Diceros bicornis minor: one gene and its partners. The protein of the gene in region 1 interacts with the protein of each later gene in a pairwise test. Links are inferred from orthologs where the notes say so. Each region holds a gene or a part of one and is shown in the gene's direction. Other genes may lie near its edges. The genes, in order: RBPMS, GSE1, VENTX and C7H11orf87.

The links.
Region 2: the proteins of RBPMS (region 1) and GSE1 interact in binary tests that used the Homo sapiens proteins (3 or more experiments, as listed by UniProt). The link is inferred for Diceros bicornis minor from reciprocal best matches to the Homo sapiens genes RBPMS and GSE1.
Region 3: the proteins of RBPMS (region 1) and VENTX interact in binary tests that used the Homo sapiens proteins (3 or more experiments, as listed by UniProt). The two-hybrid records come from large-scale screens. The link is inferred for Diceros bicornis minor from reciprocal best matches to the Homo sapiens genes RBPMS and VENTX.
Region 4: the proteins of RBPMS (region 1) and C7H11orf87 interact in binary tests that used the Homo sapiens proteins (3 or more experiments, as listed by UniProt). The two-hybrid records come from large-scale screens. The link is inferred for Diceros bicornis minor from reciprocal best matches to the Homo sapiens genes RBPMS and C11orf87.

What each region holds. Positions count from the first base shown.
Region 1 is NC_080768.1:28,063,260-28,071,071, forward strand, and holds the start of RBPMS (RNA-binding protein with multiple splicing), read left to right. Parts: upstream 1-4,801; 5' UTR 4,802-5,418; coding exon 5,419-5,484; intron 5,485-7,812.
Region 2 is NC_080771.1:34,077,131-34,084,615, forward strand, and holds the start of GSE1 (genetic suppressor element 1), read left to right. Parts: upstream 1-4,469; 5' UTR 4,470-4,894; coding exon 4,895-6,310; intron 6,311-7,485.
Region 3 is NC_080745.1:95,295,328-95,302,577, forward strand, and holds the start of VENTX (homeobox protein VENTX), read left to right. Parts: upstream 1-4,247; 5' UTR 4,248-4,712; exon of another isoform or gene 4,713-4,844; 5' UTR 4,845-5,521; coding exon 5,522-5,759; intron 5,760-7,250. UniProt on the Homo sapiens protein: May be involved in ventralization.
Region 4 is NC_080746.1:26,507,328-26,514,329, reverse strand, and holds the start of C7H11orf87 (uncharacterized protein C11orf87 homolog), read left to right. Parts: upstream 1-4,168; 5' UTR 4,169-4,405; coding exon 4,406-5,002; 3' UTR 5,003-7,002.

The sequences.
Region 1 (7,812 bases):
TGCTCTTGGATGGAGGCCTCTACCTTTCCTTGCCACATGGGCCTCTCCATAGGGCAGCTCACATCACAGCAGCTGGCTTCCACCAAAGGCAGCAAGTGAGAGAGCAAGAGAGGGTGTCTAAAATGGGAGCCCCTGTCGCTTTGTAATCTAATCTCAGAAGTGATATCCATCACTTTTGCTATGCTCTATTCATTATAAGCAAGTCACTAGGTCTATCCTACATTCAAGGGGAGGGGATTATACAAAGGCTTGAATACCAGGAGGTAGGAATCATGAAGGCCATCGTAGAGGCTGCCTACCACAGGGTTTTCTAGCTACACCCTTGCCTTGAACTTTACCTAAGGCCATATTTAGGCATCCAGGCCTAAGGCATCCTGGATTTGACCCTTGCCCCTAAGCCATTTCTTAATTTGAGAGTTTTTCCTCTGGAGAAGCTAGAAATGAGCAATAGTTTTATTTCAAATCCAGCAAGTCCTGGCTTCTTTATGTTTCCTCTAAATTCTGATTGAAAACAGAACAGTTCATTTTTTTTTTTTTTTAGCTCATCTCACTTGTCTCGTACTATACCATAAGCATCTAAAAGAAACCACTCAACTCTTTCAACATTGTATCCAAAAATCTCCTTAGCCAGATGCGCATGTTCATTAGGCATCTTTTCTATCTTTCATGGAACAGCAGGCTAGTTTAGCTCATTGTTCTTCCAATACATAAATGGGGTCCCGTTTTCTCCAGCCTGCAATAACAACACTCGCACTGTCCTTTCATAATGCTCTTCATTCACAGACTCCTCAAAGTTCCTCCAGTTTCCATCCTCTACCTGATCCCAAAGCCACTGCCATATGTTTTAGGTTTCTGTGACAGCAGGACCACACTTCTTGGCACGTAATTATGTTTCAGTTATCTATGGCTGTATAACACACCACCCTAAAACTGAGTGCCTTAAAACAACAGCATTCACTTTTATGCTAACAATTTTGCCATTTGGGCGCCACTCAGTGAAGACAGCTCATCTCTCTTCCATGTGGTGTCAGCTAGGGCAGCTCAACTAGAGCTCGGGTATCCACTTCCAAGAAAACTCATTCACAAGGCTGGCAATTGGTACCGGCTGTCCACTGAGAGCTCAGCTGGGGCCGTAAGCCGGGGACTTAATTCTCTTCCACATGGGCCTCTCCATGTGGCTGTGTGGGCTTCCACAAATGATTGGAGGGAAGTGATTGAATCTCAGAACTATTTAGGAGGTAAAAATCAGGAGGACGTTGCATAACAATGTGAATATACTTCACACTACTGCACTGCACACTTAAAAGTGGTTAAGACGGTAAATACTATGTTGTGTGTTTTTTAGCCACAGTTAAAAATTAATAAATAAAATCAGGAGAAGATGGTGATGGCCTGGAGGTGGGTGGGAGTGGGGTGAGGGAGTGAGAAGTGCTAAGGATAACAAAGACTAATAAAACACAGCCTCTGGCCTCAAGAACTTTTTCGGTCCAGCAGAGGATGTAGAAGAGTTAACAATCACAACACGTGGTAGATACTGCAGCTTTCTGCCTCAGTGCTAACATAGGTACAGAGCACAAGCCATGCAAATTGCCTCAGAATAGACCTTTAATGCCTGCACTTCCCAGAGACAAACATTTAAGACATAATTGTAGGTTTGTATTTCTCAAAGCAAGCCTCAAAATGAACACTGCCAGAGGAACAGAGATGAATAAGGAAAACTACACGTGCAGACAATATTTCCCTTTCAACCTAGCATGTAACCTGATAAGCCAGAAGCAATGTGGCAAAATGGTGGGCAGGGGAGGAAGCAGATTTCTTGGTCATTAGCCCTATTTTTCTAGGACATAAAATCCCTTTGTTGTTTTATAACTCTTAGTAGGCCTGAAAACGATTGCTACTGAGATCTCACTTTTGAAACTTTCTTTCTCTGAAGTAGTAAACAGGTCATAAAGATCATTACAACCTGAATGAATGTACACTCCCCCCACCCCCAACACAGTCAAACTCTTTCCCCTCACTCACAAAGTTTTATAAATAGCTAAAGTCTATGTACAGATTTTCATTGAGTTTTGTTGGCAACATGACTTTATTGTTCTTCCAAATAAGTCTAAACCATTCTTCATGGAAAGGACAAAATAGGAGTCCTTCTTTTCCTGGTGTATTACCCCAGCCCCATACACTTTTCTGAAAACACCCTGAATTTCAAGCTTGCCACTGACTATATGTTCTAGGTTTCCCTGCTTTATCATCAGCTACCTGATGTAGCCCCATTCTGTGCAAGCTCTCTATCTAGGGTCTCCCCCCTGCAAAATAATGACTAAAGACCACTACCATGAATCTGCCTAGTGCCCCTGTGGTGGCTCTCCACACTAAGATGCCTCTACTAATTCAGTCCCTCCTGCAGGGTCTTGGAAGGATCTGATAATGTCATTCAAGCCCAAGAATAAATAACTGATAAGACTCAGTGGATTCATTCACTCACAATTATCGAGTGCCAACTGTGCATTAGGCACTGTCTAGATGTTGGGAACACAATGAACAAACTAGACAAGGATCCTCTCATGGAATTTATTCTCATTTTTTATCCCAGGGGTTTTTGACTTTTAACAAGGACACAGTGCCAGCTTGGCTTAAAGACAAAGGAATCAGGTCCTACCTTTGGGATTAAGCCACATTTCCCTGGGTGGGGGTAGGGGAGGTTCTCTCGCTACCCTGGAATCACACAACATCTCCCACCTACTCATGAGTGGAGTCTGACTGGAACCATCAATGACTAGATCAATTGTCACTTTTCTTGGGCCTTGGCCAGGCTCCAGCAAGACAATGCCTTTCTGTGGAGTGTCTTCAGGAACAGGCAAGAATGGCCAAGGAGGGCAAAGTGCTGGCATTACTGGTCAGTGTAGGGGCCCAAGACCACCACTCAGCCACTGCTCAAGAAGACATTGCCCCCTCGTGGTTCCTCATATAACTGAGGGAGGACCTGGCAGTGGAAAGGGTTGTCCAAGTTTCCGGATTAATTGTAGCCCTCACCTCTTCTGAACTTCAATCGCAATTTCAATAGACTCTTGGTTTATTTTCATCCAGGATACATCTTTTTTTTTTTTTCCCATAGAAAGAAATGACATCATGACAGCAATTAAAGCTCTTTATCAAAATCTTCAGACCCCCCCCCTGAAAAACTCAACATGTAAATCTACATATCACTAACTGATTTTCTCTTCACAATGCTCTTAAAGCAAATATTTTCTTTGCTTTCCACAATTTGAGCCAGGATCTGCGATTATGTTGCCCTGGAGCTGTTTTGGGTATCCTGTCTCCACACCACTTTAAACTCCCTAAAAGCAGGGGCCTTATCTTCAATGCCCACCTCCACCCCCACCCCATTTCCAGCAGCACTTAAACCAGTATAGGGTAAAGAATGTCTAGTGGGGGGAGGGGGGGAAGAGACAAATAGTGAAGCAAGCAAATAAATAAATAGAAATTGTGACTGGTGCTGTGCGGGAAAGGAACAGCATGCTGTGACAGAATTCCTACGAGTGGGAAGTGAGGAAGAACCTACTGATGTACAGAGTTTCAAATTTATGTTTGTACCAGTCATATTGGAAAGCTTAAATGATACAGTCCTGGAAAAGCTCTCTACGGCTCAGGAAAATTTCCTTAATAAAAATGTTAGCCTCCAAGTATTGTAACCTTAAACTGGGCAAGAATGGGTGCTAGGTGCTATAGCGCTATCAACCTATAATCTCCTCTAATAGCAAACCCCTGGAGATAAATAGAACTACTCCCATTCCACAGGTGAGGAAACGGAAACCATGCACTCCTTCCGAGGTTGGTGCATAAACGAGTGTTGTGCGCTGACCTCCCAGAGGTCAGCTGAGACCCCCTTCTCCTCTAAGATGCTTTGACCCTCTGAAGATCACCTGTATTGGCCTCCAGTTCGGCTTGCAGTGACGAATATTCCCTTACCCAACAGATATTTATTGAGTGCCTACTATATACCAGGTAGCGTATTTAAAAAGCCGTGGGATTAAAAAGATAAACAGGGCACGGTCTTGTCTTCCAGGAAGGATCTCCCAGAAAAGTGAGGAAGACAGCCAGGTCAACAAATAACTCCAGAACAGTTTGATACGGGCTGTGAGAGGAGTCTGAACGGGCGCCACGGGAAGCCTAGCGGAGAGCCACAGCCGGCCGGTGGGGAGGCTGGAGAGGTTTCGGAGGACCCGGCGTTCGAGGTGGGTTTGATGCTGTGCCCTGAAAACGCCGGCCCGGAGCTGGCTGCCCCCGGACGTCACCGAGTTCTCGCCATCCTGTCATTTCAAGTTGCCCACTAGGAAGGGAAGAAATGGGTCTAAAGCGGTACAGAAAAGGAGAGGTAGGCTTAGGGATGGGGGTGCAAATCCCTCGTGAAAAGCAGGCAAACAAAAGTAGCACATCACACGTCCCGGTGGTCGCGCTGGCGGGGCCCGGCTCTCCGAAGCCCCTCTCCCGGCTCGCGCGCACCGCCACGCGAGTTGTCCAACTCGGCCCCCAGGGGCCCAGCGAGCCGGAGGACCTGACCTCCTTCCCTCCCCCTGCCCGGCCCCCGCCCTCCGACCTACCGCCGAGTCCGGGGCCAGGGTCGGCGGCTTCCGCCCGCGGCCCGCCGCCCCTCCCCGGCGCGCGCCATCCGGCCGCGGGGCAGCCGCCCTCGGCGCGGCCCCTCCTCCCGCGGGGGGCTTCGCCGTCCCGCGTCCCGTCCCTCGGCGAGAGCCTGCAGCCCACGTCCAGGGAGGGCGGAGGGAGGAGGAGGAGGAGAGGGAGGAGAGAGGGGAGGGAGGAAGGCGAGAGAAAGGGAGCTGCTTGGATCCCGTACTTCCCAGAGCCTGCCAGGAGCGCGCACTCAGCGGCTCTCCGGGTCCCAGCGTCCCAGCCGCGGCCCGCGCCCCGCTGCCCCGCACCTCCTCCTCCTCCTCCGCCTCCTCCTCCTCTCCCGGCACCCCTCGCCCCCTCCCTCCAGCTACGCTCGGGCAGCAGCCGCCCCCGGCCCCTACTCGGCCACATCCCCAACTCTCCGGGCTCAGTCCCGGGACGCGCGTCCTCGCCCCATCCTTTCCTGCTTCCTTCCTTCCCTCGCGCCCGCCCTCCCTCTCCAGGTCTCCCTCCCGGGTCCCGATTGTCTCCGTCCCCTTCTCGGTCCGCCCGCGCCCGCCTCGCCCTGCCCCGTCTCTCTCCCTCGCACTTCCTGAGTCGCCCGCCGCCGCCGCCGCCGTCTCGCCGCGCCGCGGGAGCCCGAGCCCGAGCCGCCGCTGCCCCGGCTGCAGCCCCCGTAGCCCGCGGCGCCCGCCGAGGGAGCCCCGGCGCCCGGGGAGGGAAAAGTGGGCGAGCGCGCCTCGCCCAGCCCCGCGCCCCAGCCCTGCCCGGCGAGGAAGGACCGGGAAGATGAACAACGGCGGCAAAGCCGAGAAGGAGAACACCCCGAACGAGGCCAACCTTCAGGAGGAAGAGGTACTGAGTGGCTCGGTGCGGTGGCGGGGACGACCGGGGACGGAAGCCGCGGGCTTTCTCCAGAGTGCGGGGGCCGGCGGGAGAGCCGGTCCCGGGGCGCCCGGCTGCGCGCCGGGGAGGGGGCGCCGCAGCCGAGGGTCTGGGCAGGTCCTTGCCCCGAGACAGAGCCCTAAACTGTGGCCCCGGAGGGTGTATCTCCGGGGAGGGTGTTTTTGTGGGTCCACGCGCGTCTGCGTGCCTAAAATTGCGTAACTTGGAAGACTTTTCGGAGAGTTTTGTAAGTAGAACGCTCAGCTTTGTTTGCCTGGAATTTTAAAAGCGGAATCGAGAGCTGACTCCTGGGTGACCTCAGATTATTGGGACCCGGAGGGTCAGGACTTAGTTCTGCGTCTAGGGCTGGAAGTCGTGGGGTGCGTTGGTGTTTGTGTAGTTTAAGGAAGAAACTAGGGGAAAGTTCTCGTTAAGAGACACCTTTTCTTCCCTGCCCCCTCCCTTTCGGTGTTAAAAGTTCTTGGTGAAATGTCTTTCCAGTTGAGGCATTTTGGATTAATAGATAACTAATCAGCCGCATTCTTCTCTGATGAGTCAAAGACCCCGAACCTGGGTAATTTAGGTTTTGTAAATTTAGGGGCGATGCGGTTGTGGGGAGCAGAATAAAAGTTTAAAACTTACAGTTACCCCTTACAAATGATCATCGAGACTATTTAATAGGACTTTGACTTCTGAGCGTAAATTTAATGTGGTGCGTCCGTAATTGCGGTAAAAATGTTGCGGCTGTGGATTGTTCCTTTGGTAGAAAAACAAAATTCAGTAAATGTAGGGGAGAACTCCTGAACAAACGTTTCAGGATTTTGTAGTTAGGATATTTTGTGGTATCCTATTAAATGGCTCTGTTCCTGCAGGTACGTTATATGGAGTCCAAGAAACAATACTTTTCGCCCACTTTTTAAGATTCCACACTAGCTGAGTTCTTAAACATTCTAAAAGAAACTTGAGAGTGTGTGGATGCAAGAAAGTATGCATCCAGATGTGACCTATAAAGCATTCTTACAGGTACTGCATCCTCGTGTATAAGGTTAACAGAATGATAAACTGATTCTGAAGCTGTTAGGATGTTGAGATTATTATTGAGATATTGTGTGCAAACTAATATTCAGATAGCGAAAGCAAACCTTGCAGAGGATTTAATTAATGCATATAAGCTCTCAGCATGTTGTCCACTTGTAAAATGGGAACTATGTAAATGGGGAAGATAGAGGAGAGAGCAAAGACTATGCAAAACAATGCAAAATAAATAACAAGATTTTCCTCTTAACACAGTTTTGTGGTAGTGCAACCTAGGTGAATTGCAGTAAACAGAAAATTGCCTTTTCACCTGAAGAAATTGCCCATTTTATTATAAACTATTATTTTGAAAAGTGTTGTTTACATGCGAATGGTTTTTTAACTACAAGTGAAGGAATACCACTGACATTTTTTTGTTTTTCAAAGAGATGGACACTTGAATTGCAAGTTCCACTTTTTTCTTGAACCTTACTGGTTGCTTTGCTATTTATTTTCCCTACCACTGAAATAAAACTTAAAAAATGATGACAAGTTTGCTTTTTTAAGGAGTTGCTATATTTAACAAATTTATTTAACACACCAAGATAATAATTGCTTCAGAAACCTTTCTATTTCACTTAGAATGGCAATTTTTCTTTCTAAGGGTAAGAATATATTGCATGAAATCATCTTTTTTCTCAGTTCTCCCAACTGAGAAAGCTTGTAAATGGAAAAGTTAATTAGGCAAACCAAAGACTTTTTTTTTTCTTTTGATAGGTAGTAAAAGAGGTTTGAGTGTCCCAAAACCATAACTTAGTTAACTTGATAAAAGTAAGTGGAGAAAAGTCATCTTTTTCTGCTTGACTCAGCTCAGCCTGACTGCTGCCAGGTCGGAGGTGTTGTCTGCTCTGTTCCTGGGACCTTAACTTAATGTGGGAGGTTGTGTACGAGTAGAATCACTGGCCATCTCAGGACAGTTCACTGCCTCTTCCCTGCCCTGTTGCCCTGACAGTGTTCCTTTTCAGGTGGGAATGGCGTGTGGCTCTAGGAAGTATCAGTAGTTTTAGCAAGACACTTGTTATTTTAAAAATAAGAGGACAGATTTCAGAATGTAAGTTGTAGAAGAGGTGGAGTGTACAAAACAGATAAACCGTGAAGAGAGAGGATTTATAGTGTTAAAAATTCAGGAAAAGAAAGTACGTTGGCCTGACCGATCCAGGTAATTTTGTCCTAATTCCCTGTTTGGGATTTATGTTTTGTTTTTGAAAAACTCCTAACCTCTTT
Region 2 (7,485 bases), on another chromosome or scaffold:
GTCTGGGGGGAGCCTGGCGCCCTCTCTCTAGCTGCAGGGAGGGCCGTGGGGCTCAGAGGGAAGCTAGGAGATGGCTCTTCTGGGGTCGGGAGCCTGTGGCTCCAACATGAAGTTAACACAAATGAGCCTTGACATCTCTTCTCATCTTGTGGCACATTCTTGGCCTGTTTTATGTCCAGACATGAACCTGTCAGGGTCTCAGATTCCATAGGTGTGAAATTGGGGACACATGTGAGGAGAGGGAGGACGAGACTGTAGCCATTCCTGCCCTAACAAGCTGGCATCTCAGGACTTAGGGCAAAGCTAATCTTAACAGCTAACAAAGCCAGGGAGTGACAGAGACACACCGCCTGGCTCCAGCCCCTGCTTTACCAAGCTGCACGACCTTGGGCCTTTACTTCCCTTCTCTGTGCCTCTGTCTCCTCATCTGTCAACTGGGGATATAACAGAACCTACCTCACAGGCTTGTTGCAAAGATTCAGCAAGTTTGAGTCTATAAGGCACAGGTTCCTGTGTGCAACTAACATTCAGCCGACGTGCACAAACACTGCTGTCATTTCTGTGTCCAGAGGGTGTGCTTCACCTGGGTCGTCTCAGTTCATCCTCCCCAGCTCTATGGGGTTTTGTGAGTCCTGTTTTACAGATGGGAAACTGAGGCTCAGAGAGGTTAAATAGCAGGCCAAGGCCACACAGCTAGTAACTGGCAGAACTGTGATGTGAATCTGCACCAGCGGCCCCATTCCTATGTCATCCACCCACAGATAACCAACCATCTTCCCCTGTCTTCCTCCTCCTCTGGTCGGTGCTCACCTGCTTCCTGGCTCCCGAGAAGTGTGCCAGGGGACTTTCCTGAGTCACCGGGTCATTGAGGGAAACAAAACATCCAGCTGGAAGCCTCTCTCCCCCGGGTCCCAGCCCACTTTATATGCACACACGTGAACACATGTACACATGTGCACATGAATGCATGCACACAGGTACACAACCGGCACACGCACACACACGTACACGGTAACAGATGCATACACACATGCACACACAAACACGAATATCTACACACACCCACACATGCACACACACACCTCCACACACGTGGCACATACTCAGGGAATCCTCAAGGATGACCCCAGCTTAAGCAAGAGAACTCCACTCCCCCCTTTTGTCCTGTCGACCGCTGTGGCTCTCCTCCTTTAGACTCTGGTGGGACCTCATCACAGTGCCCGCCTCCACTCGCAGTGCAGACAGGCATAGCAGAACCTCCTCAGCCACTGGACAGAGCCAGGCAGGGTCTACACACACACACACACACACACACACACACACACACACTGTCACCTCCAGCGTGCCAGGCCCTGTGCCCAGAGCATCGCCCTCTCTCTGCCTCATTTGATGCACACAAACAAATCCGATGAGGACCATGACCCCATTGTACAGAGCAGGAACCTGAAGCTCAGGGAACTAAGAGGTTTGCCCAAGGCGCCCACAGCTAGAGAGGGACGGCACAGCACTGGGACCCAGCAGTGTGGGACCCAGGGACTAAGCCAGGCCCTGGATACACACAGTGAGCAAGATAGACCTGGGTCCTGCCCAGGGGGAGGGAGCACCCAGGCTCCTGGGGAGGCAGACAGGGAACAGTCGACAGAAAAATAAATAAAAGCAATGACAAATTCCTATGCCAATGAACAGAGACAGAGAATAACAAGGAGAACCTGCTTGAGATGGAGAAGGCAGGGAATCCTCTGGGGGAAGACATTGTAGCCAAGACCATAAAGATGAGCCAGAGTTGGCTTCACAAAGAGAGCCTGGAAAGGCACGTGAAGCAGAAGGAACGGCATGTGCCAAGCCTCAAGGGAGCCCCACGCAACCCCAAGGCCGCCCTGCATTTCCTGAGCCGGCTTCACGTTAGCAGCCGCCTCGTGGTCTGTGTGGGCTTGATAGCTCTGCTGGACACAGTTACCCAGACCTCACCCTGTAAAGGCTCCCTAATCAGCCCCTCTCTCACCAGGTATTAAAAATGCCAGAAGCAGGGAAACCCCCTCGCCCTGCCCCCAACATTCCTTCCAGATAGTTTTGCTGACACAGCTTTTTTCTGGGCCTGGGTGAGGGCCCGCAGTCCCCGAGTTTCTGGTGATGATGGTGATGACTTTGCTGTTAACCCCTGGACTGTGACCCCTGGAATTCCACCAGGGGTTCCAGAGAGGTGGCCCCTTTCTCTTGTTCCGTTTATTTATAATGACGGCCCTCCTCCGGGCCAGAGGAAGCCTAGTTTTATTTATACATCAATGCCCCAGAGGGTAGAGGGGCCCACCTGGCACCTTTGTCCCCAGGCTGACTCTGGGCTCCAGCTGGCAAGTCGGGACAGCTGTCAACTGCTCAGAAATCACAGACTCATAGAAGTTTGAAGCTGGGAGGGGTGGCATTTCACAGATGGGAAATGTGAGGCCCAGAGATGCCTGGATTCCCCCAAGGCCTCCCAGCCTGAGCCAGAGCAGCAGGAAGGACGGAGGGATCCTGGCCATGTCCCCTGCCCTGGAGAGTCTCCATGGGCAGATGGAGTGACGGGGGCCAGATGTTTGCGTAGTGAGGCTGCACAGCCAGGGGGTTGAGAGCAGGCGCCTAGAGCTGGCTGCCTGGGTCTGAATCCTAGCTCCTCCACTCTCGAAAAGTAACAACCCTCAGCACCTCCTCTTCCTCATCTGTGAAATGGGCTGATCACAGCGCTTAACCCCGAGTATATATAAAGTGCTTAGAATAGCACCTGGCACATGCTAAGGTCTCTCTCTGTGTTCAATAAATACAGCGTATGTATACACATAAACAATAAATATGTGGAAACTGTTAATCTCCTGCCAGAACTCCTGTTTAACAAGAGGAGGAAAGGGCCCAGAGTCGTCGAGTCACTTGCCCTGGAACACAGAGCCTGGCACACACAGGATCCCTTCCGTCTCTGCCAGCAGCCAGGAGGGGTGTGGAGGCTGAGGCCTCTGCCCCCCCGGATGGTGCATTCACCAATGTGTTCCAGGAGACGGGGGACAGCTCCTCTTCCCTCTGTCTCCAAAATCAGACCACTGGACCCTGAAAAGTGCCCCCAACCCAAGGCAGCTCAGGGCTGCAACTGCTCCTCATTCGGTCCCCCCTTTAGAAGGGGGAGGGGGCCGGAGCAACTCGACCGAAATCGACAGGGTGCCTGCCTACTCCTGGACCGAGGCCGCCCCTCGGAGAGCTCCTCGCCGGCTCCTCTGTCTCCGGGGGGCGCCGGCCACGTCCTTACCTGGCTCCTCCCGCGTCCTGCTTGCCCTTTACTTAAAGAGCAGCTCTAGCCGCTGATGGGTTCCGCGGGTCCCCGAGGAGACCCTTCAGACGGCTCGAGCCGGCCGCGCTGGAGAGAGGCCCTAATTGGGGCAATGAATCATCGAGCGCGGCTCCCGGCTGGACACAAAATAGATAGAAGAGCCGGCGAGCCATTGTGCGCAGTTTGGGACGCGGGGGGAGGGGGGAGGAGGAGGGGGGGAGGAGGAGGGGGGAAGGAGGAGGGGGGAGGAGGAGGGGGGGAGGAGGAGGGGGGGAGGAGGAGGAGGGCGGGCGGCGAGCAGGGCGCGCGAGGGAGGGATTCCCCCGCCCGCGTGCTCCCGCCTCCCGCCCCGTCTCCTCCCCCTCCTCCCGCGCGCCGCCCGCGCCCCGCCTCCCTCCTCCCCAATTAAATGACCCAACGCTTTGGCAGGCGCCGGAGCTCGCACATGCGGCCGCCGCTCCAGCCGCCCGGGGCCCGCCGCCGCCGCTGCGTTCCGGGCGCGCTCGCCGCGGCGCCGCCGGGGGCTCGGCAGGCCGGGGGGGCGCCCCTGCTAGCGACCGTGCGCCCGCGCCCGCGCCGGCCGGCCGCCGCCAAACTTTGCGGCGCGCACACATGCTCCAAGTTGGGCGCGGCGGCGGCGGCGGCGGCGCGGGCGGGCGGTGAGGGCGGCCCGGGGCGCGCGGGCGGCGCGGCGCGGCCATGAGCGGGCGGCCGGCGCTGGTCTCCCGCAAGCAGCGGCTCATGGCAGCCGTGGGCGAGCGGGCGGCGGGCGGCGGCGGCGCGCCGCTCTCCTGCTTCATCTGCGGCGGCGGCATCGGGCGCGGCAAGGAGCTGAAGCTGCAGGTGAAGCAGCCGGCGGCGGCGGCGGCGGGCGCAGGGGCCCCGGCGCAGCCCTTCTTCCCGTTCCTGCAGCAGCAGGAGCCGGCGCCCGGCGCGCGCGAGCTGTCCCCGGCCGACGGCTGCGTGCTGGTGTGCGCCGTGTGCCGCTGCTTCCTGGGCGAGCAGTGGGCGGCCTTCGAGCGCGCCCGCACGCCCGTGGACAAGCGCATGTACTGGCTCAAGCGGCCCCACCAGTGCGACGCGGGCGCGGGCGGGCGCCGCGGGGGCGCAGGGGCCCCCCGCGAGTGGAACGTCGCCTACGCGCTGGGCGGCGCGGCCGGCGACGACGACGACGGTGGCGGCGTCCCCGGGCCCCGCGCGGCCGCCGAGGAGACTCGAGACTCCGAGCTGTCCGAGCTATCGGACACCGACCCCCTCTCGGAGCCCGACCCGACCGCGCGTGACGCCGCCAGTCCCCACCAGGGCGGGGCGCCGGCGGCGCGGGCCACCCCGGGGCCGGGGCCTCTCGGGGGCCGCTGCCAGGAGTGGAGGCCGGCGCCGGTACCCCCTCCGGGACAGGGCGCGGAGACCCCCGCGCAGGGGGACGCGGAGGAGGAGGGGGTCCCCTCGAAGCTACACGTGGACGGGGAGCCCAAGACCGGCATTCGGCGCCGGCGGAAGGGCGCTGGGAGGCACTGGGTCCCTGAGGCCCGAGCCAGCGTCCTGAGGGGCATCCAGGACCCTTGGCAAGACCCTCCAGTCCGGGTGGCCCCTGCAGATAGCATGAAAGGAGCCCCGTCGGGCAGGGCCGCCAAGACTCCCGAGGGCAGGCCCCTGGGGGAGCCCCGAGGAGGCTGCTGCGTGTCTGATGACAGTGACATCAACGTCACGAGCGAGGAAGAGGACGGCAGGGAGCAGCCTCTCCCGGGCTCCTGCGGCCCCAAAGAGACGGAGAACGGTGGTGGCCGCGTCCCCCGGGCTCCCCTGGAGGGCCGGCCTGCACCACCAGAGGGCCTTTGCTGCTACATCTGCGGGTCGACGCTGTCCCCAGCCTCGCAGCACCAGATCCACGTGCAGAAGCAGGAGAGGCTGGCCCAGGCCCCCTTCTTCCCCTTCCTGTGGCTGCACAGCCCGCCCCCCGGGGCGCAGCCCATCAGCGAGGGTGGCAGCACCCTGGTGTGCTCATGCTGCTTCTCCTCCCTCATGCAGCAGTGGCAGAGCTTCGAGCTGGCCCGCGTGCCTGTCCTGCAGCGACTGTACGTGGTGCCCCTGAACAGCCACGCCCCCGGCATGGCCTCCAAGGGCAGGAGGCTCCCGAGGGAAGAGGGCCTGCCGGCTGGGGCCCTGCCAGAGGCCTGCTACCTCTGCGGGGAGGACTGTACCCAGGATGCCCGGGCAGTGGCCTCCAGGATCCTCAACGGCAACGCCAGGGGCTCCATGCATTTCCCCTTCCTCAGCCTCCTGCCCTGCCCCCCCAACGCCCGGGGCCCCAACAAGCGCTGCGAGGTGCGCAGCTGCCCCAAGTGCTTCAGCGTCCTGGAGGATGTCTGGGCCCTGTACCGGGCCTGCCAGAACGAGGAGCTCATTACCTCGGTGCAAGGCTTCCTGGGCCGGTACCACCAGGCCTTCTCCGCCTGGGACCCTGCCGTCTCCGAGCCACCCGCGTCGGTCCAGGGCGGCCCGGCGTCCGTCTGCTACATCTGCGGGGCTGAGCTGGGCCCCGGGAGGGAGTTCCAGCTCAACGTGAACCCCTCCAGCCGCTTGGGCGAGAAGGAGCCCTTCTTCCCCTTCCTCACTGTTTACCCGCCCGCCCCGCGCGCTAGGCCTGCCGACTCCACCGGCCTGGTGTCCACCTGTGTGCTCTGCTACCACGACCTGCTGGGCCAGTGGCTGCAGCACGAGGCCCGCGGTGCCCACCACACCATCAGCGCCTGGTCTCGGCAGTACCAGGTGGAGACGTTTGTGTGCTTCTTCTGCCAGCAGGAGAAGAAGCGATGTCTTGGGCTGAAGGCCGTGCGGGTTGCCCGGCTACCCTTGTTTCTCTACACCCTGCGAGCCAGCCACAGCCTGCTGGTGGACGACGGGCGGCAGCTGATCATTGGCGCCTGCGTGGAGTGCGGGACCCTGGTGTGTGCTGGCCAAGGACTTACCCGCCAGGGACCCATGGGCTGGAGCTCCCCAGTGGCAGCGGCTATGAAGGTAAGCAGCAGTTCTCATCTCCTGCTCTGAAATCTGCACAGGGAAGGAAGAGACGTTGTTTTCTGTTCCTCTGCTGGGGAGGAGTTTGCACTGATTCTGAGCCGTGCGTTCCAGCAGGAGGTGCCCCCCCTGGTCTGGCACTTGGTGGGTATGTTGGCCTGGCTGAACTTGGAGGCATGTGCCAGCTCTGAGGAGTTGGGGGGCCAGGAGCGGTCTTGTGGAAGAATAGGGCGGTCCTGTGAGCAGTAGGCATGGGCCTGAACTTGAGGGTGTTTGCAGCAGAATCTGTCAAACGGAGGAAGTTCGGGGCATGTCTGTCATCCGCCTGATAACATTGGTAATTAGTCCAGCCACACAGGTCACGGAGAGGTCTCGGCACTTACCCGGTTTGAGGTGGAAGTTCCTCTCTACTCTAGCTCCTGCGTGGCTTAGCTTTTCCAGAGTTTTCCACCCAAGTTCACACTTTTCCTTTGAGACGCTGTGGTTGCTTAACAGCAGATGGAAACAGATTTCCAGACGTGGGGGTTTGGGCCCCGGGGGATAGTGGCCCGAACAGACTTTTCCCCCGGTGGGAAATGTCTTTCTTCTCTGCAAGTCAGCTGTGCCGGAGGAGGGCAGGGGGGCCTGGGTTCGCCCTCTTTGTAAGGCGCCTGCCTGCAGGCCGCCTGCCAGGGAGGAGCCAGACCCGGCTCGGTTAATTTTGGATCCAGATTTGCCAAGGCCAAAGCAGGAACTTCCCCCCGGTGGGTGTGGGGAAGTAAACGTCCGTGCGTTGTGATCCCCCAAAGCCGGTTAGACCGACTTGTTTTAACAGATACCCGGAGTGGTAGCCGCTGGTGAGGGGCCGGCAGAGGGACGGCGAATGGGGAAGGGTGTCTCCGGCCTGTTCGGGAATGGTCGTTCCATCCGTTTGAAAGCTCCCTGGTGCCGCCTCCCGTGTGTACATGCGTGTGCACGTGTGTGGGGATTCCCGGGCTGCGTGTTCGCTCACAGTGGTTGTGCCTGTAAAGTGGACCCTGCCACGATTTGCCCGCCTCCCCTCGTGTCCAGCCCTCACCTCCACGCGCTACCCGGGCTCCTTCTCTGCCCACGTCCTCTTTGGACTTTAGGCTGTTGTGGGGGCTTTGGTGGGACGGCCTCTCCTTTTACATGGACGAACACATCACCCCCCACCG
Region 3 (7,250 bases), on another chromosome or scaffold:
CTGTTTCTTTCCCCTCAGGACACCCAGGGGGCCCTTCATGCCTCCCTATCTTCTGAGCCCTTGGTTCTGCTCTGTTCCTTCAAGGGCCCTCTGGACTCTAAGAAACGTCAGATCCCTGAGCGAGGGAGCAGTAGGTCTTCATCCTGACCGTTTCATGGGGACAGGATTAACCTGGCCTGTATTTCCTGGCTGTGTCTTCTGCCAGATGTTTTCCATGTTTGTCAGGGTCCCGGAGGCCTGCCTTTGTACAGACTGGAAGGTCCTGTGCCCCATGCCCTGTCACCGGCCTTGCTTCTCAGGGCACCTCTATGCCAGCCTCCTGTTCCTGGCAACTCTGCTTCCCCAGGGCCAGCGACCTGAGCCTTTAGGGCGCTGTGTTGATTCTCGCTCACTCTGTCTGCTCCCTGACCCTGGTGTGACGCATGCTGGACACACTTGCAGATCTGGGGGTGAGCCTGTCCTGCTTTGCCGTCATCACAGATCTCTTTAGTCCCCATGGCTGCTGCCATCCACAATGCCTGTCATCTTTGTCACCAGAATCTCCCAGAAGGGGGTCCCTTCCTGAAGACCCCAGGGGTCATTGTCCTCATCATATTTATAAGGAAGTACCACTGCTGCTTCTGTTTTCTCTGACTTGTCTTGGTTCTTTGCTGTTTCTAATAGCAGCAGCACATCCTGTATGTCTGGAGCAGCACTGTGCAGTAGAACTCTCTGGAAGGATGGGAATGTTCTAGAACTGTACTGTCCAATACTACAGCCACCAGCCACATGTGGTCACTGAGCTCTTGAAACATGGCCGGTGCGAATGAGGAACTGAATTTTTTTTTTTTAATAATTTTATTTATTTATTTATTTTTTCCCCCAAAGCCCCAGTAGATAGTTGTATGTCATAGCTGCACGTCCTTCTAGTTGCTGTATGTGGGACGCGGCCTCAGCGTGGCCGGAGAAGCGGTGCATCAGTGCACGCCCGGGATCCGAACCCGGGCCGCCAGCAGCAGAGCGCGCGCACTTAACCACTAAGCCATGGGGCCGGCCCTCGGAACTGAATTTTTTAATCTAAATTAATTTAAACCTCCACGCGTGCCTGGAGTTCTACATCCAGCCCTTACATAAATTCTACTTTATTTCAGTGTTAGGTGCCGTTGGTTTCAGGTTCCTATCTTCAGAATCTTGCCTTTACATTTGCATTTAATTCCATTGCTGAGTCCCCTTCCTTTCCCCCGTCTAAAGCCTGGAGCCTGAGGCCCTCCAGCAGAAGTTTCCTCTGCAGTGACCAGGGGGACTTACTGGCAACTTAAGAAGCGCAGCAGAAGGGCACCCCATGTAACTCTCAGCCCGTCCACACGAGCCCTTCAGAGCCCTGCCTGCACCCTGTCTCTTTGGGGTGCAGCTACAAGGCCACAGGGCCTGGCCGCCAGGTGGTGGCTTTGATCTGTCTGCTCTGCGTGGACTGCGCAGGGGCAGGGCTGCACTCCAGAGCAACCCAGAGCCTCCAGCCAGAGGCCTCTGCTGCGGAGGACAGAGGAGCCAGGCACCCGCCGCGGGAGAAGCAGGTCAGCGGGGTCGAGCTGGCGGGAGGTCACCCTGGAGCTAGGACAGCCTCTCAGGATACCGGTTCCCAGGTGCCAGCCATGCCACTGAGCAGAGCGACGGAGATGAGGGCAGGGAGCGCAGACAGGGTGTGAGTGCAGAGGCCACACTGGACCCGCGCCTGCCGAGCCCACTGTCTCTGTGTGTGGGACACAGAGCAGTGGCTACGAGGACCAGACGTGAGGGTGGTCAGGGTTCCAGGGTGGGCCACGGCTCCCTGACATGCTGCCAAATGACCACAGGTGTGGTCCGTGTGTCCGGGAGGGGCATGTGGGCCCTGATGTGTCAGCAGTGGGGGTGATTCAGGCCTGACGTCACTGTCAGCCACCATCGTACGGGACCACCTGGGTCTTCATCCCTCTGTCCCACCCTTTTTTAAAATCACGGATTCCACTGTTCTGTCTTTAACCAGGTGTTTTGCAGACCGCTGGCTGGTCCCTAACGCCCTTGTGTGTCCATCATCCACGCTCTTCTTCCTTTCGCGGGGGGCGTGTTCTCGGGGAACGCCCACGCAGGTGAGGAGCCAGCGCTGGCCGAGCGGACGCCCACAGCCTGTGCCCACTCCCTCCCTCCGGGACCTTCTGCCCTGGATCTTCACCCGCTTGGATCCTGGATCCCGCTTCCCACCGTTTTGCAGAGCCCCGAGCTGGGGGGCTTTTCAGGTTTGTCCTCCAGAGCCCCGCCTTCCCTGTGGGGTGGGTGGGCGCTGGGGCTTTGGGGTGGGTCATCGCCCACCTGCCCCTGTCTGTCCACCCTGCCTGCCCTGCTGCAACCTCTGGGGGCCAGAAGGACGAGAGGCGGGCAGGGGGCGTGGCTACGGGGAGGGGACAGGGTCGGGCTGGGGGAAGGACGTGGAGGGGAGGGGCGGGGCCGGAGTGGGGGAGGGGCGTGGAGGGGAGGGGGGAGGGAGGCGAGGCGGCCCCTGGCCGTGGTTTCGGTTCCCCGATCGCGTCGGAGGCCCCGGAGGCTCCAGGGCTCGAGCGAGGGGGGACCAGACCAGCCTCCACCTCCCAGTGGGGCGGGCGTGGAGAGGGGGTCTTGGGGTGGCCGTGGAGATGGCCGGGACGAGGCGAGGCCGCGGCGGGAGGGGGAGCGAGGTGGGGAGCCTGGCTCCGGACTACGTGGGGGCGGGGCAGCCAGAACGCCCGAGGAGTGGGGGCACCCACTCACCGCCACCCCCACCACGCCCGTGCCGCCCGGGTACAGGTGGGAGGCGGCCCCCCCGGCGCGCAGGTGCCGCGACGTAGAGCCAGCGGCCGAGCGCCAAGGCCACGCCCGCGTGTAATCCCCGGGTCTCGGGGAAGGCGGTGGAGGGACGGTGGAGGGGCAGCGAACCCGGGGGCGCGGGTCCCAGAGCCAGGGGAGGAGCAGGCCCGGGGAGCCCTAGACGCTGCTCCGAGGCCAAGTGAGGAAGCTGAGGCTAGGCACGGGTGACATTGGCCCGAGCAGCCGGCGGAGACAGAGGGGCCCACAGTGCAGGAGGGAGGGGTGGGGAGACCCCAGTGGACACGGCCGGCCGGGTGAGGGGAGAGGGGCCTGAGCCCGTGGCAGTGCTGAAGGGAATGACCGAGGGGCCGCTGGGAGGAGGGGATCACACCAGGCAGCAGCCAGAGCTGGAGGGGAGGACACAGGAGGGAGAGGCTACTTGACCTGCTGAGGTGGGGTCACCTTGGACTCTGGAGTGGGACTCAGGTAGGGGAGGGTGTAGGCAAGGAAGCTGGGAAAGTGGAGGCCGGAGGACGTTAGAGGAGGGTCCCTGATTACGGAGCAGATGGCTGGGCAGAGCTGAGGAGGGTGCTGAGGAACGTGCGGGTGTGGAGCCAAGAGGCCAGGGGACCCGGCGGGAAAAATCAGAGGTGAAGAGACGCTAAAGCAGACTTTCCAAAGACCAGAACCTGAATGGCTGACATTTCACGAATTAACGCTGCTGAGTGCACAATGCAGTAATTTCCAACAAATGCTCCTTTGTCCGGAGGAGGCCTCTCCGGCCTGTTCTGTGCGTACTGAGCAGCCATGGGGGGGCTACTTCCCTCTGCCCGGTTTGTGAGGTACCCTCCCACCCCCGTTTGTCCCGGAGGAGCTCTGCGCAGGCCTGCACCAGCTCGGCCTCTGTCCCCAGCTAGCTGGACGGCCCCTGTCGCAGTGGTGCTAGCAGCCTGCCCCAGGGCGTCCTTGGAGGAAGCCCTGGAGCCACGCGCACCCGAGGGGACCTCACTGTCCACCTCCAGGACACCCTGCAGTTCTCGTACAAGACACCTCACCGGACACTAGGCCAGTGATTCAGATCCCAGCCTCCCCCTGCGGGGTCCGGTGATCTAACTGGGCTGGTGCAGGGGCGGGAGGAAGGCCCAGGTCAGCGGCGTTGTGGCCCTTCACACGCACGGGCGGTCAGCGCCGCCTGGTTCCCCGCTGTGCCCGCGGGGGTCCGGCTCCCACATCATCACCGGCCCCTCCCCTGCCCGAGAGGCTCAGGAGGCGGGGTCTGGGTGCTAATCCTGGGCGAGGCCGCCAGGCCTTTGATCTCCGCCGGGCCGCGTGGGCGCGGGCGGTCGTCCTTGCCCCTCCCAGCCTGGCGCCGGCGTCCCCGGGGGTCGAGGCTGCTGACTCGATCCGTTTGCACTGAAGCCCAGCCGCGCGCTCGGGTCCGGACTAGCGCTGCACCCGACTCCAGCCGCCGGGGCCGTAGCCTGGACTCCCCCCAGCCCGCGCCCCAAGGGGCGCCCAGGGCCCGCCGGGGTGGGTTTCCGCAGCACGTGTCCGTCTGCCGGGTCGCGTGCAGGAGACTGACGCTCTCCCGCGAAGGTTGTGGGGAGGCCCGGGGGAGGCACCGCCGGCCGTGGCTTGGGGCGGACGGCGTGGCGCACCTGGCTGCCTGCGCCTCCCGACGGACGCGGACGAGGCCAGTTCAGGGGTGAAGTTCAGGAGTGAAGCGGCCGCGGGGACAGGGTGACCGTCTCGAGGACACCCTCCTTAAGTTTTGGGCTCCACCGTCCCCCGGGGGCTCTGCAGTTGCCCAGCCCCAATGGGGGCAGCTGGGGCGTGGGAAGAGTGATGTCGCGTGGCTGCAGCTGAGTTCACGCCCTGAGCGAGCACACCCCCCTTCGTGTCACCCCAATCTGGAGGTAGCTCCTGGGGCACCGAGTGAAACCCAGCAGAGGGGCTGGGCGGGGGCGGTGGATGGTGAGAGAGAAGGGCCTGCAGAGCGGAGGGTCCTTCTCTGCACAGCCCCTCCCCGCCCTGTCTGGCTTGTGCAGTCTCCTTCCAGGAATGCCTGCCCTACATTCCTACCCAGCTGGACAGCCTGGACGCAGCAGACACCCGCCCTGGCCGGGCCCACTGTGTCCTGCGAGCAGCGATGCTGACGCCCCACTTGTAGCGAACTCTCCCTCACCGCGGGCACTGCAGACACACGAGGCAGGTTGGAGGACCAACCTGGAGCGAGAAGATGACCTGGCACCCCATAGGACAAGCCCCCAGGGAGGGTGCTGGGGTGGGAGGGGCCGTCCTCACCTTCCTGCAGCCTGGGCCAGCCGGGTGGGGGTGGGGGAGATGAAAGGATGTAACGAGTTCCCAACCTCCCCCAATCTCCCCTAACGCTGACCGAAGCCCCGCCCCTCCCCAGACATCTTGGAGCCGGGGGAGGTGCGAATGGCCTCCTTTGTGCCTCTGAATTGAAGGCAATTAGGTGCTACTTATCTGGGGGGGGATTTGAGCCATCTATGCAGACCTGCCTCCCAACCCTCCTTCTCCTGAGCTTATAAATGTAGCCCGGCCCTGCCAAACTGAGGCGACCCTGTGCTCAGCCCAGGCCACCTGACCAACTCTCTGCTGACGCTGCGCCCAGCCCCCACCGTCCGCCCTGCAGAGGACCCTGTACCTGGGCCCACCACCATCTATCCCCAGGATCCTGAGCAGAGCACCACGTCCAGCCATGCCTCCCTTCCCCGCCCTGCCTTGTGGCCGCAAGCCAGCCTCCAGCTTTGGCTCTGTGGCCTGGCTATCTCAGAGCAGCCATGCAGAGCAGTCGCACACCTCCAGGCCCGCTGAGGTCTCTTGGGAGAGCTTCTCTGCCCCAGCCAGGGTGTCCGGCAATGGGGAGCCCCCTCAGACCGTGGGCATGGGGGAGGTGAAGTCCTCAGAATTGTCTGCGCCAGGGACGCCCACAGCTGGTAGGTCTGGAGATGGGGGGAGGTCCCTTCCTCCCCAGATGAGGATGGGAGTTGGGGAGGGTTCAGGAGGTTGGGGGCATTCTCACTAGGGCTGGGGTTTGGGGTTTCCTGACCTCTCTGGCAAGTGAACGCTTCCCCTTGGAAGCAAAAGCCACAATGGGGGGTTTCCCTCCTCAAGCCCCTTGGGGCTCCTCTTTCCCACCCACCTCCTACAGGGGCCAGCCCCCTGCCCTCTTGCCCAGGCCTGGGCCCACCAGTCGCCACCCCCCACGTCCTCACTGTGAGCCATAACGCTGACGTTAGTGCCTTTGTGCACGTGGATTTCAGATTCTGTAAAAGTCTTCGGGACCCATTTCCACCATGAGTCACAGGGTTGTGGATAAGTGTGTCATAAAGCTTATGAAACCTGCCCAGTCCAGAGGGCTCCTTGTGGCCCCACCCGAAAAGCCGGGCCCCTTAGTTTGGCACCTAGACTTGAGTTGGAATCCTGCCGCGTTAGTTCACGGGGAGCCACGACCTAGTGACGCCGCCCTTTGCATTTCCGCATGTGTGAATTTTGGTGCCTTCTGCGTGCTCGGCTCCCGGGAGGTCTGGTGGCTCCTCAGCTCTGTCTGACCTTTTGTTCACTGCCGAGAATCCTCAGTTTTGTCTCTGTGACGTAATCATCACTTTTAGGTTTAAAGTCCAACGTGGTCAAAAATGGGGTTCTTGTTATACATAAGTTTTCATTTTTAAAAAAGTTTAAGTAATCCTTACAGAATAATTTTATACTTCGATGAGGTGAAATTTTAAATTTATTCTTTACAACCAGTACTGCCCCCAAAAGGCTAGCCAATCATCCTGCATCAAAATCCTTGATGCTGACTGGTTACGCCCTCCAACCCCCACCCCTCCAAGCAAGCCTTTGCTCCTCTCGTCCACTGGACGCTTCTAGTTAAGTGTTTAAAACTAATTTTGTAAAATTTGGTTTCCCCGAAGCAGCTGATTGGCCTTTTTGTCAGATGAGTTGCATAGTGACCGAGTAGACGATCTTCACCATCCTGTCTTCCTTCACCCCCTCGGGGGGAGTGTTGGGGGGTTGCTTACTGCCATTCCTCATCTCCTAGTTTATTTTTTTTTTAAAGATTTTATTTATTTATTTTTTCCCTCCAAAGCCCCAGTAGATTGTTGTATGTCATAGCTGCACATTCTTCCAGCTGCTGTACGTGGGACGCCACCTCAGCATGGCCGGAGAAGCGGTGCGTCCGTGCGCGCCCGGGATCCGAACCCAGGCCGCCAGCAGCAGAGCGCGCGCACCTAACCGCTAAGCCACGGGGTCGGCCCCCTCATCTCCTAGTTTAGAAAGTAGGGGGGCCGGCCCGGTGGTGCAGTGGTTAAGTGCCTGTGCTCTGCTGTGGTGGCCCGGGGTTCGCAGGTTCGGATCCCGGGCGCGCACCGCTGCACTGCTTGTCAAGCCAAGCTGTGGCGGCATCCCATATAAAGCAGAGGAAG
Region 4 (7,002 bases), on another chromosome or scaffold:
TTGAGTATGATGTTAGCTGTGGGTTTGTCATATATGGCCTTTATTGTGTTGAGGTACTTTCCTTCTATACTATAGGGAGAATGTAGTACAGCCTGGCACATAGTAGGTATTTTGCAAATAATAATAATAATAGCACTTATTATTTTATTTATTTATTTATACTTATTTATACATTTATTATTATTTTTGTTGTTATTATTTTTTTATTATTGTTATTGATTCAGTGCCCCTTTGGTTTGATGTACCAGGTGCCCATGTGGCACTTCTCTCTAAGATAGATGGAGATCTCTCATTAAACTGGAGAGCAAGTATTATATGTTGCTGAATATTTGGAAAGTGCCTGAGTCCAGAGGGGCTTTCCCATCACCAGGGAAGTATCTGGGAATCTCAGAAGCTTTTTGGTCCTCCACTCTTGGGAGTGTGGCTTAAGAAGTTTAGTGGCAAAAACAGTGGCCACCTCTTGTCTGGAAGAAGCCTTGCCATTGTGCCAGATGTGCCAAAATCATATAGCAACTCAGTGGGATCAATTTCTGCAGCCCAAGAGGCAGGTATATGTATTTAGCATATATGTATTTAGCACATTCATTCTCTGAGTAAGAACAAATTATGAACCTATAGCCTATTCTTCTTTAAAGGGAAAGGGAAAAAAAGCTGGGCTTTTGACCTGAGAATTGATGTCTTTAATCTACCTAAATCATTTCCAGTTAAATACTGTTGTCTTCTGGATCACATTTATCTGCTGAAGATTGTTAAGTTCTCCAGGGCAAGACATTGTCTTTTCAGAGGTTGTGTAAAATGGTGCAGACACTTTTAGCACTCCTGGTATAACGGATGGTTATCATTTATAACAACAGAGTAAGAACAATGACAGCCTCATCACATGTCCTAGAAGCTTGGTGTGCAAGAGGAATCCCATTATATTCATATTGTAAGCCCATTACAACATATTATAAAGGTATTTATGTTCCTCACTGGGAAAACCTGATAACTCATTCCTCCAAGTCTAGAAAACTGATAGACCAGTGAGAGTTAATTCTAATTACGTAAAGATTCTTTGCTTTACAAGACAGTTTTTCTAAAGAGTCTCTTTAAATAGCCAGATCCCTTTTTGGAGTATTCAAAATTAGATTTGCTTTCCAAAATGTTGATTAGACTCAACTTTTCAGGAGGAAAGAAATGGTGCAAAAATGGGACATTACATGTCAGGTGTCAATGGTGAAGTGTCACTTAGTGATTACAGAGAAAACAAGGCTCGCCATCCCATCGCCTGAGCCCATCAAAGTCAGGATGTCCAAATGTGGCAGGTGGCTTTTACAGGGCATCAGGTGCCCTCATTCCAGGCAGGAAAGCTAAGCCAGCATTGAGGTCATTGGCCATCACTAATTGTGTGACTCTGGGGCCAAGGGCATCAATCCATGCTCTGAAGTAATCACGCATTATTCAGCGTGTACTGAACTATTCGCTTAAATATGGATACTTTTTTTTTGAGGCAATTATGAAGAAAAAGCTGATGACTTTTATTCAAATAAATGAAAACAGAATTTGGGGGAGAAATGATGTATTTCTTTCTCCATATATAAGTCATGGGCAAGGAGAGGAAAAGGAGAAGTTGGAGAGGACTAGATAGGAACTGAGGGTCAGAAGAAGGGACTCTCAGATTACAGACAAACAACTTTTTGCTCTCCATGTCAAACCCTCTTTCTTTACAAAACCCTCTGCTTGCAAATACAAGCAGATAGGTGGGTATCAGACATTCCTGCTACCTGATGCAGCAGGGAAAAGCAGCAACGTATGCTGTATCACTCAATTTAACAAGTAAATATTGTACAGGCACTGTGTTAGACTCAAAGATTGGATGAAAACATGACAAGGAGGAGAAAAGGAAATGCACATTTAATTAGACACCTGAGTGCCTTCAAAGACCATACAGTGTTTTTAGGTGCTGTTTCAAACTGGCTTCTCCAGTAGAAAAATGAGAATACTTCATTTTGAAGCTGGCTACTGTAACCAAATGCACCATTCATATTTTCCCAAGGGTTCTAAACTAATAGTTGATTAGTCTCTGCCCAGATTTAGGCAGGCTGATGAGAATCTTTTAGGAAGTTCTATCCATTATGCTGAAAGGCTATGGTTAATACTACAGCAAAGGCACCAAGCGCTTTAACAAGCATTAGGGCCAATGAAGGGGTACTTTGTAAGAGCACAATGCTCAGAATTTTCACAGGGCAGTTCATTTCTGTGCTGCTCTGAGTGATTTTCATCTTTATCCCTTGTAAGCCTTGTGTGTGCTTTGTGTGTTCATGAGCGTCTAGGTAGTCAGAATAGAAGTGTTAATTCCTTGAGCGGGTTCATGAGCGTGTGAGGGGAGAGAGGAGGATCACGAGTCAGGTGGAGTGAAAGGTAAGTTGGAGACTCTGGTGGAGGGGGAAACAGTTAATTTGGATTGTTTGATGTTAAATACATGTTCAGATTTGTATTTCAGGTTCTTCCACTCTTGCATTCAGAAATGCCCCTCTCATCTCTCTTAAGTACGCAGTTTCTGTTCAGAACCAGGTCAGCATAGACAAGACTGGGGAGGGGATGATCCTCATCAGCAGAAGGAGAAAATTCTAGTGTGTGCCCTGAGGGCAGATGGATCTCTAGAGTGTAAAAACGTGTTCCTGGGACCATGTGGGAAAGGGTTGAAGGTGAGGAATTGGGCAGCCAAAGAACTAAAGCTTCAGCCCTCCTTCCTAAGCATAGGAGGGCAGAAGGTGGGTTGCTCACAGGGTGGGGGTGAGGATTGCTCTTCATAGCCCCTGGGCAGGGAACTGGGAACGTAGCAGAGGCTCGCTCTGCCAGGACGAAGTGTTGGGGTATGAGGGTGAGGTGGGGGCCTGAGGGGTGGCTTGGAGCCCTGGCGGTGGCTGTCTGACGTCACCGGCCTCTCTGGCAATAGGCTGCGAGCTGAGCTCCCCAAAGCGGCAGCGGCGGCGGCGGCGGCGGCAGCAGCAGCACGGCTTGGTCTCTGGCCCCTTCACTCCGCGCCTTCTGCAGCCGCCACTGCAGCCGCGCGGCGGGGGCTCCCTCCCTGCAGCCAGCTGGCGGCCCCAGGTAAGGGACGCCGTTCGGCTAAAGGCTCTGGGCGGCTGGGTGGCCGGGCGCGAGTGGGTAGGACAGCCTCGGCGGCCTGCGCAGGCACCCCTGGCCGTAGCTTCGGCCCCCGCCCCTGCCCCGGCCCGGGCTTGCGCGCCGCCTCGCTGCTCCGCAGTGCAACAGTTTGCAGCTGCCTCTCGAGAGCGGCGAGGGGGCTCTGCTGCGCCCTGCGTGTCTACCTGCACTGGTCCCCGGGAAGAGCCTAAGGGCCCTCGGGCTGGGTCTGGGCAGGCCGGAGAGAAGATCCGTTCCCCAAACTTTGCAGGCAGGAACCCTCCCCCTTCCATTTCCAGCTCCCGTAGAAAGAAGCAGGATACTGTCAAGTGGGAAGCACAGCGAGATGGAGAAAAGGGGGCATTTGCGGGGATGTGCTTTAGCTGAGAAAGGTGCTTCAGTTGCTTTTTTTGGTGGAGGGGCGGTACAAGAGAAGGCTGGAGAAAGGATGGAGCGCGATCCTGCGCGTCAGCCGGGGCCGCGGGCAGAGGTGGAGTGGGATATGGTGCCAGCGGTACCCTCACGGAAATGGGACCTAAGAGGTCTGACGCCGTCCGGGAAGGGAGAGTCGGGAGGGAAAGGGAAGAGAAGCGAGGACTGCGAGCCCGCTCGGGGGCAGGGTGTGGGTGCTGGGTAGGGTGGGATCCAGGCGAAGGCGTCCATTGAGAGGGCGCAGGAAAGAGAGTCGGTGCTCTGGGAAGCAGAGACCGCGTTCTGAGGCGGCTACGTGGTTGTTGCAATTAGAAAGTTGTGGAGGGCGCAGGGAGGCTGCTCTATCTGCTGAGTAATCCGCATTTCTGCGGTGCCGGCGCAGACCCCTTCCCTGCGAGTGGCGGGAGCCCGAAGCTGGTGCGCGGCCAGGGGCGGGCGGGCTGGGGTCCGCGGGCTGCGAAGACCGGCAGCGCCCAGCTGAGGCGGTGTGCCCAGAGGGCCGCTTTGCAGTGCCGGCTGATCCTTCTGGTCCTCCGCACGCCCCTGGGCAGCGGCCGAGATCCTAATTAAGCCTGTTCTCTTTGCAGCCTGGTGCCTTGGCAAAGGAAAAGGGCGCGCCGACACGCGTTCGAGGCGGGGCCGGAGAGGATCTCCTGGGCACCGCTCGCTCCTTGGCCGGCTTGCTTGCCCGCAGTTGCTCCCTCAGTCCTTCGCTCGCGCGCATCCCCTCCCACACCAGAGAGTAGTTTTGGGTGGCGTGGGCTCTGTCCTCTTCTTGGCTGGTGGGAACGGTGTGCCCAAAAGAGGAAGTCTGGTGGGCCCGGCCCCTCCCAGCCCAGCGCCGATGAGTGCCAGGGCGCCCAAGGAGCTGAGGCTGGCCCTGCCGCCGTGTCTCCTCAACCGGACCTTTGCTTCCCTCAACGCCAGCGGCAGCGGCAACGCGAGTGCCCGTAGCCCCGGCGCAGGCGGCGGCGGCGGCACCTGCATCACGCAGGTGGGACAGCAGCTCTTCCAGTCCTTCTCCTCCACGCTGGTGCTGATTGTCCTGGTCACCCTCATCTTCTGCCTCATCGTGCTGTCACTCTCCACCTTCCACATCCACAAGCGTCGGATGAAGAAGCGGAAGATGCAGAGGGCTCAGGAGGAATACGAGCGAGATCACTGCAGCGGCAACCGCGGCGGCAGGGGGCTGCCTCCGGCGGGCAGCCAGGCCCCAACCCACGCAAAAGAAACCCGTCTGGAGAGGCAGCCCCAGGACTCTGCCTTCTGCGCTCCCTCCAACTCCTCCTCCTCCTTCTCTTCATCCCCTGGCCTCCCATGCCAGGGTCCCTGTGCTCCTGCGCCTCCACCACCGGCCCCCAGTCCGCAAGGAGCACACGAAGCCTCCTCCTGTTTGGACACAGCTGGCGAGGGCCTTTTGCAAACGGTGGTACTGTCCTGATTGTCTAGCCCCTCACCCTTCCCCTTCCTCGTTTCCAGCATCTTTGCCGTCCTCGCTTCCCCCCCGCCCCCGTCCTTCCTCTTCCACTTTCCTCTGCCCTCTCTTTCCTCTTCCTTCTTTCCTTAACTACCCTCCCCTTACTCTGTTTCTCCTCCGCCGAGGCACTGTGCGGTATTTGTAAATATTGGGCGAGGAAAGTCTCGGAAGAAGAAATAACGCTGATAACAGTACTTTATTATTAATATTTATAGTAATTATTATTATGCTAATAACACAATCCAAGCGCATGACAAATCACATAATTTCTCATTGTCAATGAAGGATTCGTCTTCCCTCTCCACCCTGCGCCCCCCACAATAAGGAGGAGAAACAGCACAAACTACCAAATATATAAAAGGCATTGACCCCCGGAGCAAAGGGAGTGGAGGGGGCCCAGTGTGTTGTACATAGCTGTCAAGTTAAGGTTCAGTTACCTTCGTTCCCCTCCACCCTCCAAGCTTTCACTTTTCCTTCAGCTTACCTCCCTTCCCCATTCCCAACCTCAGCCAGGCTCAGACAATAGTATATTATAAAGAAAACGTCTACATGAAGCGCCAGAACTACAAGAGGCCACAGAGACAGTCCCAGAAAAACGTTTATGACAGGTACCACCCTCCAGTCAGCCCTCTTCTCACCCCTTGGTTAACCAGTCCCTTTTTCAGGACCAGGCATTTTAATTTACTTTTAGAAATGTCCCTCGCTGGCCGAGCATAAGTATATTAAAAATCTTTAAATGAATTTTTTTTTTTTTAAACAATCTACTGCTTTAACTTCCTGCCCCGCCCCGACCTGTATGCATTTTCAGGATTCAGAAAGGATCGGGGAGCTGTCCAGCCAGATCTGGTGCTGAAATTGCCTCCCGAACTGGTTACTTTCTTTGGTTGTGCAGGCGGAGGAGGGGCTGTTTTGGAAAGTGACTATTCTGGCTTTTTGTTGGTTTCTTTCTTCTTTTCCTACAATCGGGTTTGCGTGTACTATTGGTTTTCTTATTATTAAACATTGCATAAGTTACCCTTTTTTGTAAAAAAAAAAAAAGTATTAGGTGATGTGCAGTACTGAAAGTGCAGTATCTAACCAACCAGAATGTTTCTGTTTAATTTTTAGAACAAGTGCACCTTGTTATATATTTACTATATTGGTACCAAATACAGAAGCAAACTATAGTTCTGTACTACATCCTCCAAACTGTATATTCTTGTTCTTAATTTCCAGCTGTTGATATAATGGTTACCACTGGATGTGGAATTCAGTGGTGCAGGCCTGGCTTCTGCTGTTTCCAGAAGTGTTCTTTTGTACCTTACTCTGTAGTAGACTGTTATAAAAAGATGACACATGTTTTCTTTTTTCTTTTGCGAATAACAGAAACAACCACAATAGAAAACAAACAAATAATGGATGTGCAGGAATGCCATCTATTAAAACATGGTTAATATTTAAACAGTGCCTGTAGTCCTCCCTGCATGCAATTACCACCTGGAGGCAGTGGTGTGTGTGCTTGCTTGTACTGTATGCGTTTGGGATGAGACTGGTGGGGATGTTGGGCAATGTGGATGACAGGACATGCAAATTTCAAGAGAAGTTAAATGCAGTGACTACTTGTAGGACAAAAATGTTTGCAGCTTGTTTAGTTAGAAATCTGAGATGCAGCAAAGGAAAGACTCTCTTTCTCTTTCTGAGTCTGGCTTGCCTAACTTCACTGAATACATGAAGAAAGATTGATAAAAGAGAAAGTTAGAGAAGAAGATCAATAATTTTCTTCTCTCTTCTAATGCCACACAAGGCCATCTATGTTAGAAATGGAGTCCACCTGTGGTTATTTACCACTTTGTTTCCCTTGGATTGATGATAAAGGGGCCAGAGCATATTATAATCTTAATTATATGCAGTGGCATCCTTTCTTAGGAACCAATTCTTTGACAGCTGTTCAAACGTTTGGAAAATGTATGAATAAGAATGTTCTT